2 linked regions of the Notamacropus eugenii genome follow. The protein of the gene in region 1 interacts with the protein of each later gene in a biochemical or structural test. Links are inferred from orthologs where the notes say so. Each region holds a gene or a part of one and is shown on either strand. Other genes may lie near its edges.

What was found. The genes of interacting proteins can lie anywhere in the genome.
Region 2: the proteins of NFE2 (region 1) and MAFG form a complex in vitro, tested with the Homo sapiens proteins (2 studies listed by BioGRID and IntAct, with this or other methods). The link is inferred for Notamacropus eugenii from reciprocal best matches to the Homo sapiens genes NFE2 and MAFG.

What each region holds. Positions count from the first base shown.
Region 1 is NC_092874.1:227,422,212-227,429,427, reverse strand, and holds the start of NFE2 (transcription factor NF-E2 45 kDa subunit), read left to right. Parts: upstream 1-4,207; coding exon 4,208-4,321; intron 4,322-7,216. UniProt on the Homo sapiens protein: Component of the NF-E2 complex essential for regulating erythroid and megakaryocytic maturation and differentiation. Binds to the hypersensitive site 2 (HS2) of the beta-globin control region (LCR).
Region 2 is NC_092873.1:326,073,872-326,080,717, reverse strand, and holds the start of MAFG (transcription factor MafG), read left to right. Parts: upstream 1-3,836; 5' UTR 3,837-3,983; intron 3,984-4,156; 5' UTR 4,157-4,509; intron 4,510-4,663; exon of another isoform or gene 4,664-5,316; intron 5,317-6,846. UniProt on the Homo sapiens protein: Since they lack a putative transactivation domain, the small Mafs behave as transcriptional repressors when they dimerize among themselves.

The sequences.
Region 1 (7,216 bases):
AAAACCAGGAATAATGGTGTCCTCACTAAATGCTAGGCACACTTGAAGAATTGAGAGACCTCGGTATGTACCATCCTTTTCCTCCCACTCATCCACCCATCCATCCATCCATCCATCCATATATACACATACATACAGTCACATCATTCCCCTGCCCCAACCCAAGGTTCCTAATAGATTAAATTTGGGTGCTGTATGTGTGGCAGAGGAAAGTATATGGAAGAAATGTAAAAGCAGAGAATGGGTCCACTCAGGATGTTTGGTCCCCTGACTCAGTTTATTTTTTGTCCCTTAGGAAAGATGGAAAAAAGTAGGCTCAGAATTAGAAATGAAGAGTGAAAGAAGAAAGAGAAAAGTGATTTTTTTCAGAGAAAAGCCTGGTTTGGGGTCAGAGAGACTAGAACAGGGAAAGTGAGCATTATGGAGAGGAAGGGTCTTCCTTCTTTACCCTCTCTTCTTACTGCTTCACCAAGGAATAAGCAGGGTAGAAGCTGGAGAGGAGATGGACTGGATAGCATTCTGTCTCCCCCCCAATCTTCCCCAGCTATACTTACAACCCCCTCCCCAGCCACACACACACACATACATACACACACACAGACAGACACACACACACACACACACACACACATACACACATGTCTGAGTTACTGAAGCCCCCAAGGAACAGGGTCCTGTCCTGATCAACAAACTCTTCCTTTCTAGCTCTCTCTAGGTTGGTCCTGTTTTCTCTCCTTTCTTTCTTCTGTTTCTTTTTCTCTCAAGTTGTAGCCAACTTTTCTTCACCACCACCACCACCACCACCAGAGGTAAGCTCATCTCCTGATAGAGATCCCAGTACAGGAACAAAAACCCTGAAACCAAGACACATACTAGGAAGCCCAGAACTCAAGGATATTTTGGTTCTAGAGCAGAGTGGAAACCCTGGGAAGCAGGATTTGAGGGTTTCTCCCTCCTCTCCTCATCACCTCCATTTCTCAGGTCTTGGTGCTCCTTCCATAGATGACCCCAATTCTCTATTCCTCATCTACTAATGGGGTTCCAAGATCTTTCTGTAAGCGTGTAAAGATCCCATCAATAATGTTCAGAGCAGAAGAGTGGGGAAAAGTCAGGGGTTGTGTGAGGGGAAAGGTATTTCCATCCTTACAAATCTCTGTATCCTTTTGGGTATATTAAACTGCTATTTGCATGGGCTAAGAAAGAGACCATTCAACATGGAGGTAAGAGGATGGGGAAAAAATGGACCTAGACTGGAACTCTATGCACTGTGAATGACTACCTGGAAAATGGTAGACAAGGAGATTTCCCTCAGAAATCCTCACTCAGGTGAAAGTCACTAAGAAATCAACTTACATGGAACTAATATCCCTCAGTGTCTCCCCACTAATCCTTGGCCCTCTCCCCCAGAGTATCCCCACATCCTTTCTCCTCAGAGTGATCTTTTTCACCATCTATTCACTCCTTTTTTTTCCTCCCCTTTCTACTGGGTCTCTCAACCAACTGTTTCCTGAAATAGAGAACCCTAAGGGCCCATAAGGATAAAGATATCTTTGAACGGCCTCTTGACCATCACCAGGTTAGGGGGGAGAAAACATTATCCCTTCCCCATCTCCTGGCACAAATCCTTTAATTTCCCCTTACAGAGATGAGGTAGAACCAACCCAGAGATACATCCATTCCTACTTTCCTGAGGAACGGGGAAGACAGAACCTCAGGAAAAGGCGCTGAAAGGGAAAGGATTCTATGGCCAAGGGAGAGAGAAAAACCATAAAATTATAGATCTTGGGTCACAAAAGGACCTCAAGACATCATGCCTTTTTACACGTAGGGCACTGTCTTGCAATTAAAGATGAGACAACAGAGAGTCAGAGGGTTTCAATGACGTAGGCAAGCTCATATAGGCAGTTACTGGTAGAGAGAAAAGCAGATCCTAGGTCTTTTGCCTGATGACACCCTGAAGGGGGCAAGGGCAGAAGACCCTTCCAGGGGAAGTCAAGAGAGAGAGAGAGAAAGAGAGAAGTAGTCAGGTTTAGCTTGGGGACAGGTTAAGGGAAAGAGGGGGCAAATCTACAAAGTAAGAGACATTCCCCCTACCCCTCCCTTAAAGGGACTCAGGAGTGACTGTTCTTCATTCACTTTGCTTTTACACAATTTCCGGCCAGAGCCCAAAGTAGGGGGCCAGAGGTTTGGGGTTCCGGTGTCGAAATGGCATCAAGAACAGAACACAAACACCCCACCCACTTGGCCCCAGGACACATGGGGATTCATCCTATGACTACACCCAGACTGAACTCAAGTAGGCATTTCTCCAGGGTCAGGCCCATGCACACTGTGGCCTGGTGGAGGGAGGTTGGGAGGGAGGCAATGATATTGGGACAAGTAATTGGAGGAGATCAGTGAGGGTAGGGAATTAGGGAGAAAAGAAAACACTGGATGGAGAGTCACGGGGTCAGTTTTTAAATCCAATGTCTGTCCATTGTTAACTGCATGAACTTGAGTCTAAGTTGTCTCTAGTCAATAGCTTCCTCCGCTATAGTAGGAGAGGGATGACGTGTCTAAGGCCCCTTCAGATAGAAATCTACAATTCCATGATGCAGGGGATAGAGGACACCAGAAGAGTAGAGAGAGTCAATAGGGGAAGAAGGTAAAGGGCCACTGGAATGATCCTCATGTTTCTGGGCATTATTCTCCTACTTTTTTAATATTACTAGTAAACCTTAATAATACCTTATACATACATAAGATCCTTCCTGGTTCTCACTAAATTGGGTTACTGAATACTACTCTTTGAGTTTATCTGTCTAATTAAAAGGTAGAGTCTATGTTAATTAACCTGGTTGATTAGGAATGTCAGCTTCTGAGGCCATACATACTGCCGAGATCATTAGATCATTTCTTTCTTCAGGTATTATTGAGGGTTTCTACTATGCTGAAGGATTGCTAATAAAAGTGAGTTTGCCCTCCATTCTCCTAGCCACTAGGTCTCTAACTCTAAATGATGAAGAGATCCCTATTGATGTCTCCCTCAAACCCCTTCTGCTCAAATTTCTTCTTATCTCTTTTTGCTTGAGTCTTATTGAGAAACCCAATGAAGATGATGGCTGTCTTGACAGCTTTTAGAGGTTAGGACAATTTTTTTCTCCCACTGACTCCCAACGACCTCTCCTCAAATCTCCTCACCATGTCCTACCTCTCCCATCAGAGAAAGGATGAGGAGGAAAAGGATGTGGGCTGGAGAGAAGAGGGCTGAGTTGGCTAGAGAAAAGCAGATTGGGAACGGGGATAAGGGTAATGATCCCCATGTCTCCAAAAAAGATTCCTCAGTGGATGGAACCACTGGAAATACCATAGGGAAGAATGTATTGAGGTTAAATAATAAGAACTTCTGAATAAGCAGAGTTGGGAAATGAAAGAATGAAGAAGGAAAACTGGAGACAGATTTGCTTCGAAAAGATCTCAGTTTAAAAAGAAACTTGTTTGTATGGGCTGAGGAATGGATAAAATGACCTCTTTGGGCCCACAGGCATAGAGGTTATGCCTAGAATATGCCTATCTTCCTTTTCCTACTCTGCTCTTTGCCCTAGGGCTGATAACTTCTTATCTCCCCCAGCCAGGAGGAGCCTAGGGTGGGGAAATAGGAGAGGGTTATCGAGGACCAGGCCTGGGGTTGAGGTAGTTGCCTCTTTCCAAGGCACTACCCCCTTAAGAATCTCATGGTTCTTACATGTCCTAGGAAGAAAAAAATTAAGATTCAGGAAAAGAGAGGCAAGATGGGGGAGAGAAATAAATAAATTCCTGATGTTGTCCCAGAGAAAAAACCCTAGATTCCTGGCTCCTTCCCCTGACTATGGAGGTGGCTTGAGGATGTGAGGAGGAATGGAAGAGAAAAGGTCTTTAGTCTAGGGAAGGTCAGGGACCTGCTACTGCCTCTCCAGGGACAAAAAATTTATTTTACAAGGGGAAGGTGGATTCTGTGATACTAAGGACTCATAAAAGGAGGTGGTCAAATGAGGGAAGTCTTTTCCCCTTAGAGGATCTCTCAGGAGTCAGAGAGTTGGTAGGCGTGAAATGCCCCTTCCCACCTACGCTGATGGAGGTACAGAATACACTCTGGTAGGGGAGATCCTCACCCTCTCACTTCATCATTTCAGGTTGCTTGGGTGACCTCGGCCGGGGGGGAGCCTTCCCTGGCTCCTGGCCTGGTAGGATGCCCCCGTGTCCTCCACAGCAGAGCAGGAACCGGGCTCCGCTACTCGCTGCCCCAGAGCTGGGAGAGATGGAGCTGACCTGGCAGGAAATTATGTCTATCACAGAGCTGCAGGTGAGAAGGGGAGGCTGGGCAGCAGGGATGGTCAGGGGTCTAAGGAGAAGGGCTAGGAAATGCAGATGCCTTAGCAGGAGTAGGCCTGAATGGGAGATCAGGTGAAAATCAGCCATGCCCAAGGCAGGAGGTGGGGATGGGGGAGGGCTTTGGGCTAGGTAAACAAGGGAGGAGGTACTAAAGGGGGGGTGGGGACAGAAAGGGGGTACCTGTGGGTGGTGAGGGAAACCTAGGCTCTCTCCACTGCTTTCTTTCCTCTCACTTTTCTTGCTTGCCCACCTCCTTTCCCCTTCTTTCTCTTTCCCGTCGCTATCCCCCTTCCTTTTCTGCTGCCTTACTTAATCCCCCTCCCCATACCTTCTTACTTCCTACATCATCTCACCTCCTTAACCTCTCCCTACTTAATCTCGCCTTACCCCTCTTCTCACCGGTGCCCCTCCCCCCAGGTAACCGAGTCTGGGGCCTTTAAGGGAGGACGATGCAGGGGTCCCCTCCTCCTGCTGGTCAGACAAAGGGGTATCTGTTGAACAGAACAATGACTTCTTTGTCCCTGGTTGGGTAGGGATCTGGGGTGGCCGCTGGCCATGGGCTGGGGGCAGTTCTCATAGCAAGATGACTGCATCCCTGCTTGGACTGACTGGCAGATGGGAGAGAGAAAGATGGAAGCAAGGGCAGGAAGAAATTGCCCCAATCCTCCAGTCTTGGATTGCCCCAGGGCTCTTCACCTCCAATTCTTTGCCCCTTTCTGACTCTCCTCATCTCCCCACCCCCCAGTATTATCCCCTTTTCCAGACCTATTTTTCTTTTCCTCAGTTCTGGCCCCCTCCTCCCCCCTCCCCCAATATATCCCACTCTTCTACATGCCCCATTCTTCTGTCACTTTCCCTTCTAGCTCACTAAAATGCCTCCCCACCCCCATCTCCCTAAATTCTAGGTTTCTAAACCCAGATGATAATCCAATTTTATAATGTCCTGACCCACTCCTGCTCTCACATCTTACAAAAATAACTGCACTATAGATTCAGGGGTCCCTCATGGGATCACAAGAACTCCTCTGTCTCAGACCACCTCTACCAGACTGCCTTCCACTCAGCAATTGTCCTAGCCAATTGGCAGAATTGTCCCAAAAGAATTTGGCCATAGGAGAGGTTTGACATCCATCCCCCTGTCTCTACACAGAAAGCTTCGTAGGATTATAGAATCATAGATCTAGACTTGGAAAAGACCTCTAGTCCAACCTACTAATTTTACAGATAAAGAAAATGAAACCCAGTGAGGCTGACTTGACCAAGGCCACACGAACAGACATGTTATGAAACTAGGTCTTCTGATTCCAGAGACAGTACTCTTTGTATCGTAATGTACTACTCTACTTCCATCTTAGAACAATGAGGATCTCTTTTAAATTTTAAAACCTTCCCCCAAAAGATTCTACAAACTAAATGTTTTGGGTAACCCTTCCATATTAAACTCAGTATTTTCTGTAATTGACAACACCAACAATGTAGCTAGCATTTTAGTAGTGCATTTAGATTTGAAAAGTGCTTTACAAATATTACCTCAGTTCATCCTCACAATAACCCTGGAAGACAGGTGCTAATATTATCCCCATTTTACAAGTGAGAAAACTAAGGCAAATAGAGGCTAAGTGACTTGCCCAGGGTACACAGCAAGGCAGTATCCAGTCAGGTCTTCCAGACCCAGGGTTCAATCTACTGCGCCACCTAGCTGCCTCTTTATTTGCATTTTTGTCTAAGGATTCAGGGATTCTTCTTATCTTTTATTTGGGTCAAGGACTCTTTTGGCCATGTGGCGAAGCCTGTGAAACCCTCCTGAGAATCATGTTTTTTAAATACATAAAATAAAATATCTATAGCATTGCAAAGGAAATCAATTGTAAAGAAATAAAATTTATCCAAATTTTTATTTAAAAAAGAAGTTCTTGGACCCCAGGTTTAAGAACCCCTGCTGTAGTCAGAACTCAGTGAATAGGCCATATTTTCTGTCCCGTCCTATGTGCTATCTATGACCCCCAACTTCTTGCCTTTAGACTTTATCTTTTCAGATCCTTCAATCAGTCATTCAGTCAACAAACATTTGTTAAGTATTTACTGTGTGCCAGCCATTGTGCTAAATGGTGGAAATACAAAGAAAGGCCAAAAAAAATTCTAAAAAATTAGACCCTCCCCTCTAGGAGCCCACAGTCTGAAAGAAGAAACAACATGCAGAGAGAAGATATATGCAAGACAAAATGGAGATTATCACAGAGGGACAGCACTAACATTTAGCAGGGTTGGGAAAGGCTTTTTGTTGGTGGGATTTTAACTGGGACTTGAAGGAGGCAGGAGACAGAAACAAGGAAGGAATGAATTCCTTGGGGTCAGGGGGTGGGGGTGGGGGTGGTACTGGAAGGGGTTTGGGTCAATAATGAAAATATATGGAATTGGGAGATGAAAGTGTTTTGTTGGAAAAACAACAAAGAGAAGAGTGTCACTGAATAACAGTATACGAAAGGCAGCGAGTTGTAAGAAGAACGGAACGGGGGAAGGTTCAGGTTATGAAGGGCCTTAAAAGTCATAGGAGTTCATAATGAATCCTGGAGGTGATAGGCAGTCACTAGAGTTGATTGAATGGGGTGGTGGGGTAGGCCCAGTATGTTTAAGGAAAATCAGTTTGATGGGTGAGGGGAAGGACTAGAGTGGGGAGAGACTTGAAGCATAAAGACCAACAGCAGGCAGTTGTAATAATCCAGGTAGGAAGTGATGAGAGCCTACATGAAGATGGTAAGAGAAGGGGGCATATGGGGAGATGTTACAAAAGTAAAATCGATTAGGACAGATTGGTTTAGGAGTGTGTGTGTTGGGTGGCGAATGCAAATTGAGAAAGGAAGATAAG
Region 2 (6,846 bases), on another chromosome or scaffold:
TAAGTTTTTATGCCTCTTCAGGCCCACTAAGAATAGACAGACAATCTCTTGGGAGAGGCATCAGATATTATGCTAAGATACAGAAGCAAAGACAGTCCTTACTTTTAAGAAGATGACATTATAGTGGGAAAGACAATACACATAGAGGAATGAAAGACACTTTATTACAGAAAATTACAGGGACAGAAAATTCCCCATAGAGTAATGGACTGACACACCCCATCCAGGAACATTTATCATATTTCATAGTTCCAGAATTGGAGAGTGAGAGATGAGAAGGAAATGCTACCTGTGCATTCAGCTTGACAAGAAGAAGAAAGTGGAGGAGGAGTGAAGTGAATCACGGCTGGGACTTTCCTGAAATAATGGTCCCAGTGAGCCAATTACCAGTCAGGTAAACAGGGCTCAAGGCAGAAGTTCCTCCAGGGCATGCTCTCTGGTCAGGTTAGCAAGAAAACTGTCAGAGGGGGCTATGAAGGAAGTGGTCAGAGAGAAGGGAGGGAGGTGAAGCATGGCTGGGGCTTTCCTGAAAGAGTGGTCTAGGAGAGGTAGTCATCAACCAGGAGATTGGACCCTATTGCTACACTTCTAATAACTGTTAAGACAGTAATACTGATTTTTATTTAATGTCTTCAAGCCTACGAAACTAGGGAGTTTGAGAGCGAGGAGATAATGCTTTTATAGGTAAAGAAACAAGTCAAGTCAAGGAAAGGTACATTTTAAAGTACTTACTATGTTCCATGCTGGGTACACAGAGGGAAAAAACAGACCCCAATATGAAGGAGTTCACAGTTTAATGAGAGAGATAACCTGCAAATAACTATGCATAATGTCTATTTCAACTTATAAATATATGATATAATATCAATTTAAATTATTATAAATATTATGCATAATAGTATATTACATATCATGTATTATATGTAATATTATGGAAATATCTTCTACATCTTCTATAATATATGAATTATATCAAAATATCATTATAAATATCAATTTATATATACAGAATAAATTGGAGAGAATCTTAGAAGGAAGTTACTAACTAACATTAAGAGGGGTTTCTTGAAGAAGGTTCTATTTTAGCTGAGACTTGAAAGAAGTCAGGGAAGCCAGAAAGCAGAGATGAGAAAGCATAGGATTCCAAGCATAGGCGACAGCCAGTGAAAGTGCACAAAGTTGGGAGATGGCATGTCTTGTACAAGGAATAGCAACGAGACCACTGGAACATGGGGTGAAATAAAGTGCAATAAGACTGAAAAGGTAGGAAGGGGCCAGATTATAGAGGGCTTTAAAAATCAGAGTATTTTATATTTGATCCCAGAAGTGATCAGGAATCCCTGGAGTTTATTGGAAGGGAGGTGGCATCGTCAGATATGCTTTAGAAAGATCATTTTGGTAGCTGAGAAGAGGATGGACTAGAGTGGGGAGAGACTTGAGGCAGGGAGATCAACCAGCAAGCAATAGCAATTGTCCAGGCTTGAGATAATGAGGGCCTGACCAGGGTCATGGCAGTGTCAGAAGAAACAAAGAGAAATTATTAAGATAAAATCAAAAGACCTTGACAACAGATTGGATTTTGGTAGGGAGTGGAGTAAAACAGAATGAAGAATTATGAGCCTGGATTACTATGAAAATGATGGTCCCTTTGATAGGAATTGTCAGGTTAGAAAGTAGGGAAGATTAAAGGGAAAAGATAACAAATTTAGTTTTGGACATATTGAGTTAAGATTATAAGATGTCTAGTTCCTTATTCCTAACAGGCAGTCCAGGGGGTGATACTAGAAGTCTGGATAGAGGTCAGGGTCAGATAAATCTGAGAATCATCTACATAGATATGAAAATCCAATCCAGTTCTGATGAATTTATGAGATCAACAAGTGAAATCGTATGGGGGGAGGGGGAGAAGAGAACGTGGCTGAGATCCTTAGAGGACACCCAAGGTTAGTGGTAGTGACCTGGATGAAGATCCTGAAAGACGAACTAAGAAGTCACACCAGTAGAAGAATAACCAGGAAAGAAGAGGGTCACAGAAACCTGTATAGAAGAGAGGCCCTAGGAAAAGAGGGTGATTAACAGCCTCAAAGCTTGCAGAGAGACCAAGAAGGAAAAGGATTTTGAAAAGGCCATTAAATTTGGCAATTAAAAGGTCATTGGTAGCCTTGGAGAGAGCAATTTCAATTGATTGAGGTTAGAAGCCAGACTTCAGAGAGTTAAGAAGAAAGTGAAAGGAAAGGAAAGTAGAGGTACCAGTTATATGTAAATGGATTTCTTAAGGAGTTTAGCCACAAAAGAGAAAAGAGACATAGGATGATAGCTAGTGGAAATGGACTGATCAAATGAGGGTTTTTTGACCAAGGCTCTGTTGTGGGCAATATGGAAGTAGTCAGTAGACAGGGAGAGATTAAAGACTGGTGAGAAGATAGGGATGATAGGGCAATCAACTGGAGAAGATGGGATGGACTGGAGATTCACTTGCGCATGCAGAGGTCCTTGGCAAGGAGAAGAGGAACCTCTTCATGACAGATGGCGAGAAGAGATAGTAGAAAGTGACTGATGTGATATGAGGAAGAGGTAAGAAGAGGGAGTTCTCAGTGAGTAACCTCAACTTTTTTCCAGTGAAATATGAGACAAGGTTCTCAGCTGATTGTTGGGGGTTAGGGAGAGCCATGGGAAGCTTGAGGAGGGATACCAAGTTTTAGAAAAGCCACTGTGGTGAGCGGGCTAGTGAATCAGTTTAGGGAGGTATACGAGCATTGCCTTGGTGTAGGGAGAGCCCAGTTGTGATTACACAACAAATGTAGAGTCGGCGTCCAGGCAGCACAGTTTATGATTTTCTCCAGTTTAACTGAGCTGCACAGGAATACAACAGTGGGAGCAATCCAAGGCTTGGCAGGGCAAGATCTTCAAGAAGAGATAATTCGGAATTGAGCTGGTTCACCAAGGTGTGAAAGCGGAGGAGACGGTAGTCAGCATGGGAAGGAACTAGAAGTTGCAGTAAGCGGGTCCTAAGGCAGAGCGCAAAGAGGGAGGACAAAGATAATGACCGGATAATTTCAGCATTCCTAAACACGGAGGTAAGAACACTGGCGGGTGATGGCAAGATCTAGCTTACAACCACATGTGTGTGCAGAAGTAAGTCGTGGGAGGTGAGCGGGGTGCAGAACTGGGCAGTGAGAGTATCCGAAGTCCCCTAGTGCAAACAGGGCAGGAGAAGAGAGGGGAAGAGAAGGGGAGAGAAAACACTGCGCCAGGTACCGAACTCATGGTGATACCGATGGCCATAAAGCTGGATGAGGATGAAGTGGCCCTTACCAGAAAAGAGATTACCAGTGAGGGTGAGGGTGGTGGAGGGAAAGCTTGGGAGCAGCCACGGGACGCATGAGTGTTCCGGGGCGGCCATCGAGACCGGCAAGGTTTCTCTGATTCTTATAACCCACAGATAACTAGTTAAGAAATCATGTCTTCTTCTATTCACGTATGAGGCCAAACCTTGATTACCTTAGGATTTGGGACGAGAGGACGATAATGAAACACAGGGCTGAGAGACAGGTTTGATGTTTGTTCAGGTCCTGAGCTACACGAGGAAGCGCAGTCTCTACGCCCTGTTAAACTATACACAGGGTGTCCCAAAAGTCTTGGGGCAGCTTTTAAGCCCCCAAAGACGCCGTGCGGGTGCGCCAGGCCGGAAGACTCGCGGCGGGTCTGGGAGTCTGCACCGGGCCCAGCCCGACGTCCTGCCAGTGCGCCGGCAAGCACTGAACCCTCCCCCTGCGCCAGCGCCGGCCCAAGAACCCCAAGTGAGACCCGACTCTGCTGCGCCCGGAGAGCTCAGGGTGCCTTGGGGGAGGCCCCCTTCACCCAACACATGGGGCAGGAAGGCCTTCGAGGCCTGGCGGGGCGGGAAAGGAGGAAGCGTCTGGTGAAAGGAAGAACCGCGTTGGGTTGCAAGGAGGGAGGAAAACTCGGGGCGGAGGAGGACGGTAAGTCACGGCTGTGAAAGAAGCGGGGGGGAGGGGGGGGCCCTTTCGGAGTGCGCAGGCGCAGTGGCCTCAGCCGGGGTTTCTTCCCCTCCCCTCCCCCGCCCTCTTTCTTTTCCGCTCTCCGCGCCCCCGCCCCCCTCCATCCCCATCTCGTTCTCTCCTTCCCCTTTAAGCTCCCGGCTGGTCGCGTCGCCGCTTCATGAATGGAGCCCACGTGACCAAACATCATGTGACGTCTGTGGAACGGCGGCGGCTGTGGCGGCTGTAGATCCGCGAGCCTGGTCCCGTCCCGGCCTCAAGCCTTGTCCGGTCCGGTCCGGTCCGCCGCGGTCCGGACCCGCGCAGCGCCGTGCGGCGCCGCCCCACCCCGCCCCGCCCGGCCTCCGCGCAGCCCCGGCCCGGCGTCGCCGCCCAGCCCGCCGTCCCGTCCCGGGTCCTGAGTCTCCGCCCGCCCGGGCTCGGCCTCCCTCCCTCCCTCCTCCCCTGCCCCCCGCCCGCCCGGTCCGGGCCTCGGCCCCGCTGTGTGGTGAGTACCGCGCGGGCTGGAGGGCGGGCCCGGGCCCGGGGCTGCGGGCGGGCGGGGCGGGCGGGGAAGTGGCCGGGGCACCCTGGCCGTCTGGCCGGCCCTGCCGCCGGGGTGGAGTCGGGCGGGGCGACCCGGGAGCCGCCCTCGGGGCCCCGGGGGTGGGGGCAAAGCTGTACCCGCGGGCGTCAAGTCCAGCCGCGTCGCGCCCGCCTACGGAGCCCAGTCCCCGTGCCTTGGTTTCCCCTTGGAGCCCAGTTGGGTGTCTCGGTGGTTCTCGATGATGGGGGGCGGGAGGAGTCCGATTTGCACAGTCTTTGGGGGGACCGGGGTGTGCAGACCCACCTAAGCCCTGTCTGGGGGTGTTAATGTACGTGAGTAAATGCCCGGAGGTGCGGTTCGACCGGGATGACCTCCCCCGACCCTGCTGGGCCGGGAGCGGTGAGTCCCACGCTTGTTGGTGGGGAAGGCCACAGCACGGTGTGGTTGCGGAGAGCTCTGACCGAACAAAGCTGCTGATTCATCAGGTGTCTGTGTCAGCATCTTCCCGTGTGCTGGGGCCTTTCGAAGAAACCGGAGGAAAGACGACTGGGCGGGTGGGAAGGGAGGAAGGGGAGGTAGAGACCACCCGGCTGTGCCCCCCTTCCCGCAGCTGATGCCGGAGCCCTTGGCAAAGACTTGCTGACTCATCAGCATGAGGTCACTGGAGGCTCATCCTCGTGCCCGAGGGGATATGAAGGAGCGGGTGACAGCCCTCACTGAGTAAATTTGGAGGGAAAAAAGTGAAACGGGTGTAAGGACAGCCTAAAGGTATTGTTATTGAGGACCGGGCTACTTAAGTTTTAATTGGCATCCCAGAATGCTAAAGCTGGAAAGAATCTTAGAGATCATCTGGTCCAACCCCTAAATTTTGCTGGTGTGAGGAAGGCTGAAATGTGTCATGTTAAAAGTTCCCTCAGGGAGTAAAAGACCGGATTCTAGAGCCTTGAGTACATACTCTCCCACCCCAACAGCTTGTGGGGGACAGCACTTTACTCTTCCTTTTTTAGTTACCAGAACTAGTCCCAGGTCAAGGACACTTCCTGAAACTGTTCAGTAGTTCAGGGACACATCTGGAAGGCAGAGGACCTTGTCCACATGACTAGTGCAGCAGATCAGACTGGGTAGCTGTGAAGGAAGGAGTTGTGGGGAGAAGAGGATGTATGTGTAGAGTATATGGGGGGCAAAGATGACAAAGGCGGGAGAAAGCTGGTTTCCAAGGACACTTCAAATATTCTGGGAAATGGCAAATGAAGGAAGCAGGACTTTCTGGCAAGGCTGGGTGTGCCTAAGGTGCACAAGTTTTCAGTCTATAGTCTCTGACTTGAGACCTGGATTGAGGAAAGTGGGTGGTCTGGAGCATAGAGGCTTATGCTAGAGCAAAGAGCTATGTGGCCAGGGGCAGGAAGGAGCCCATGAACCTTCAGCTTAACTCTGTAAGGGAGTACTTCCTGACTAGGGTTTATGAGGCTAATATTTGTAGAATGGTGGTATATGGGTGAGAAAAAGGTGCTGACTTCTTTAGAGCCAAGTGTTCAGTTATTTGGAGGATTGAGTATCTTAAAGGATTAGCATTGTTTATAATAGACTCAGGAGGTTATTTCCTGCACATCAATGGGTTGATAGTAGGAACACACATGTACACTCTGACCTAGGTTGTCTGGCCAGAGGTCACCAGGTCCTCTGACCCCACCCCAAGCAAAGACTACTAACCCACTGACATTGGTGTGTGAAATTCTGCCACCAGAGATTTAATACTTTGACTCAAGGCATTTTCCGTCTGTTAAAATACATATATCCTTAGGAGGGATAACACTTTAAATTTAATCAATCATTTCTATTTTAGTGTAAGTTAGTTTATTATATACCTCCCTGGGCTTAGATTTTGACCAGAAGAAAGCCCCTTGGGGATGCTGGGAACCCAGTGGGGAGTAACACAGAAAAGAAGATAAGAGTGGCAGGAGTGTGTGTGTGTGTGTGAGAGAGAGAGAGAGACAGAGTGAAGATGTACAAAAGGAGCTGGTGGTGCTGAAGTTTTCGAAAACTTGTTGGTTGTACTGGTCACATGGTTTTGGAAATTAAAGAGGAATTAGATCTTGACTGAGGCTTTGACCCTTTAAGTGGTGAACAAAGGGCTGACAGTTGCCTGACCTAATTTCAGCTGGGGTCCCACTGGGTGGGAGGGACAGTTGATGTTGATAGGGACTAGATTGGCTTTTGGACCTTTCCTTTGCTTTGAACAGTACCTTAAACAAGGTAAGTGTTGTTTTTTTGCTTGAATTTGTTAAATAAGTGAAAGTC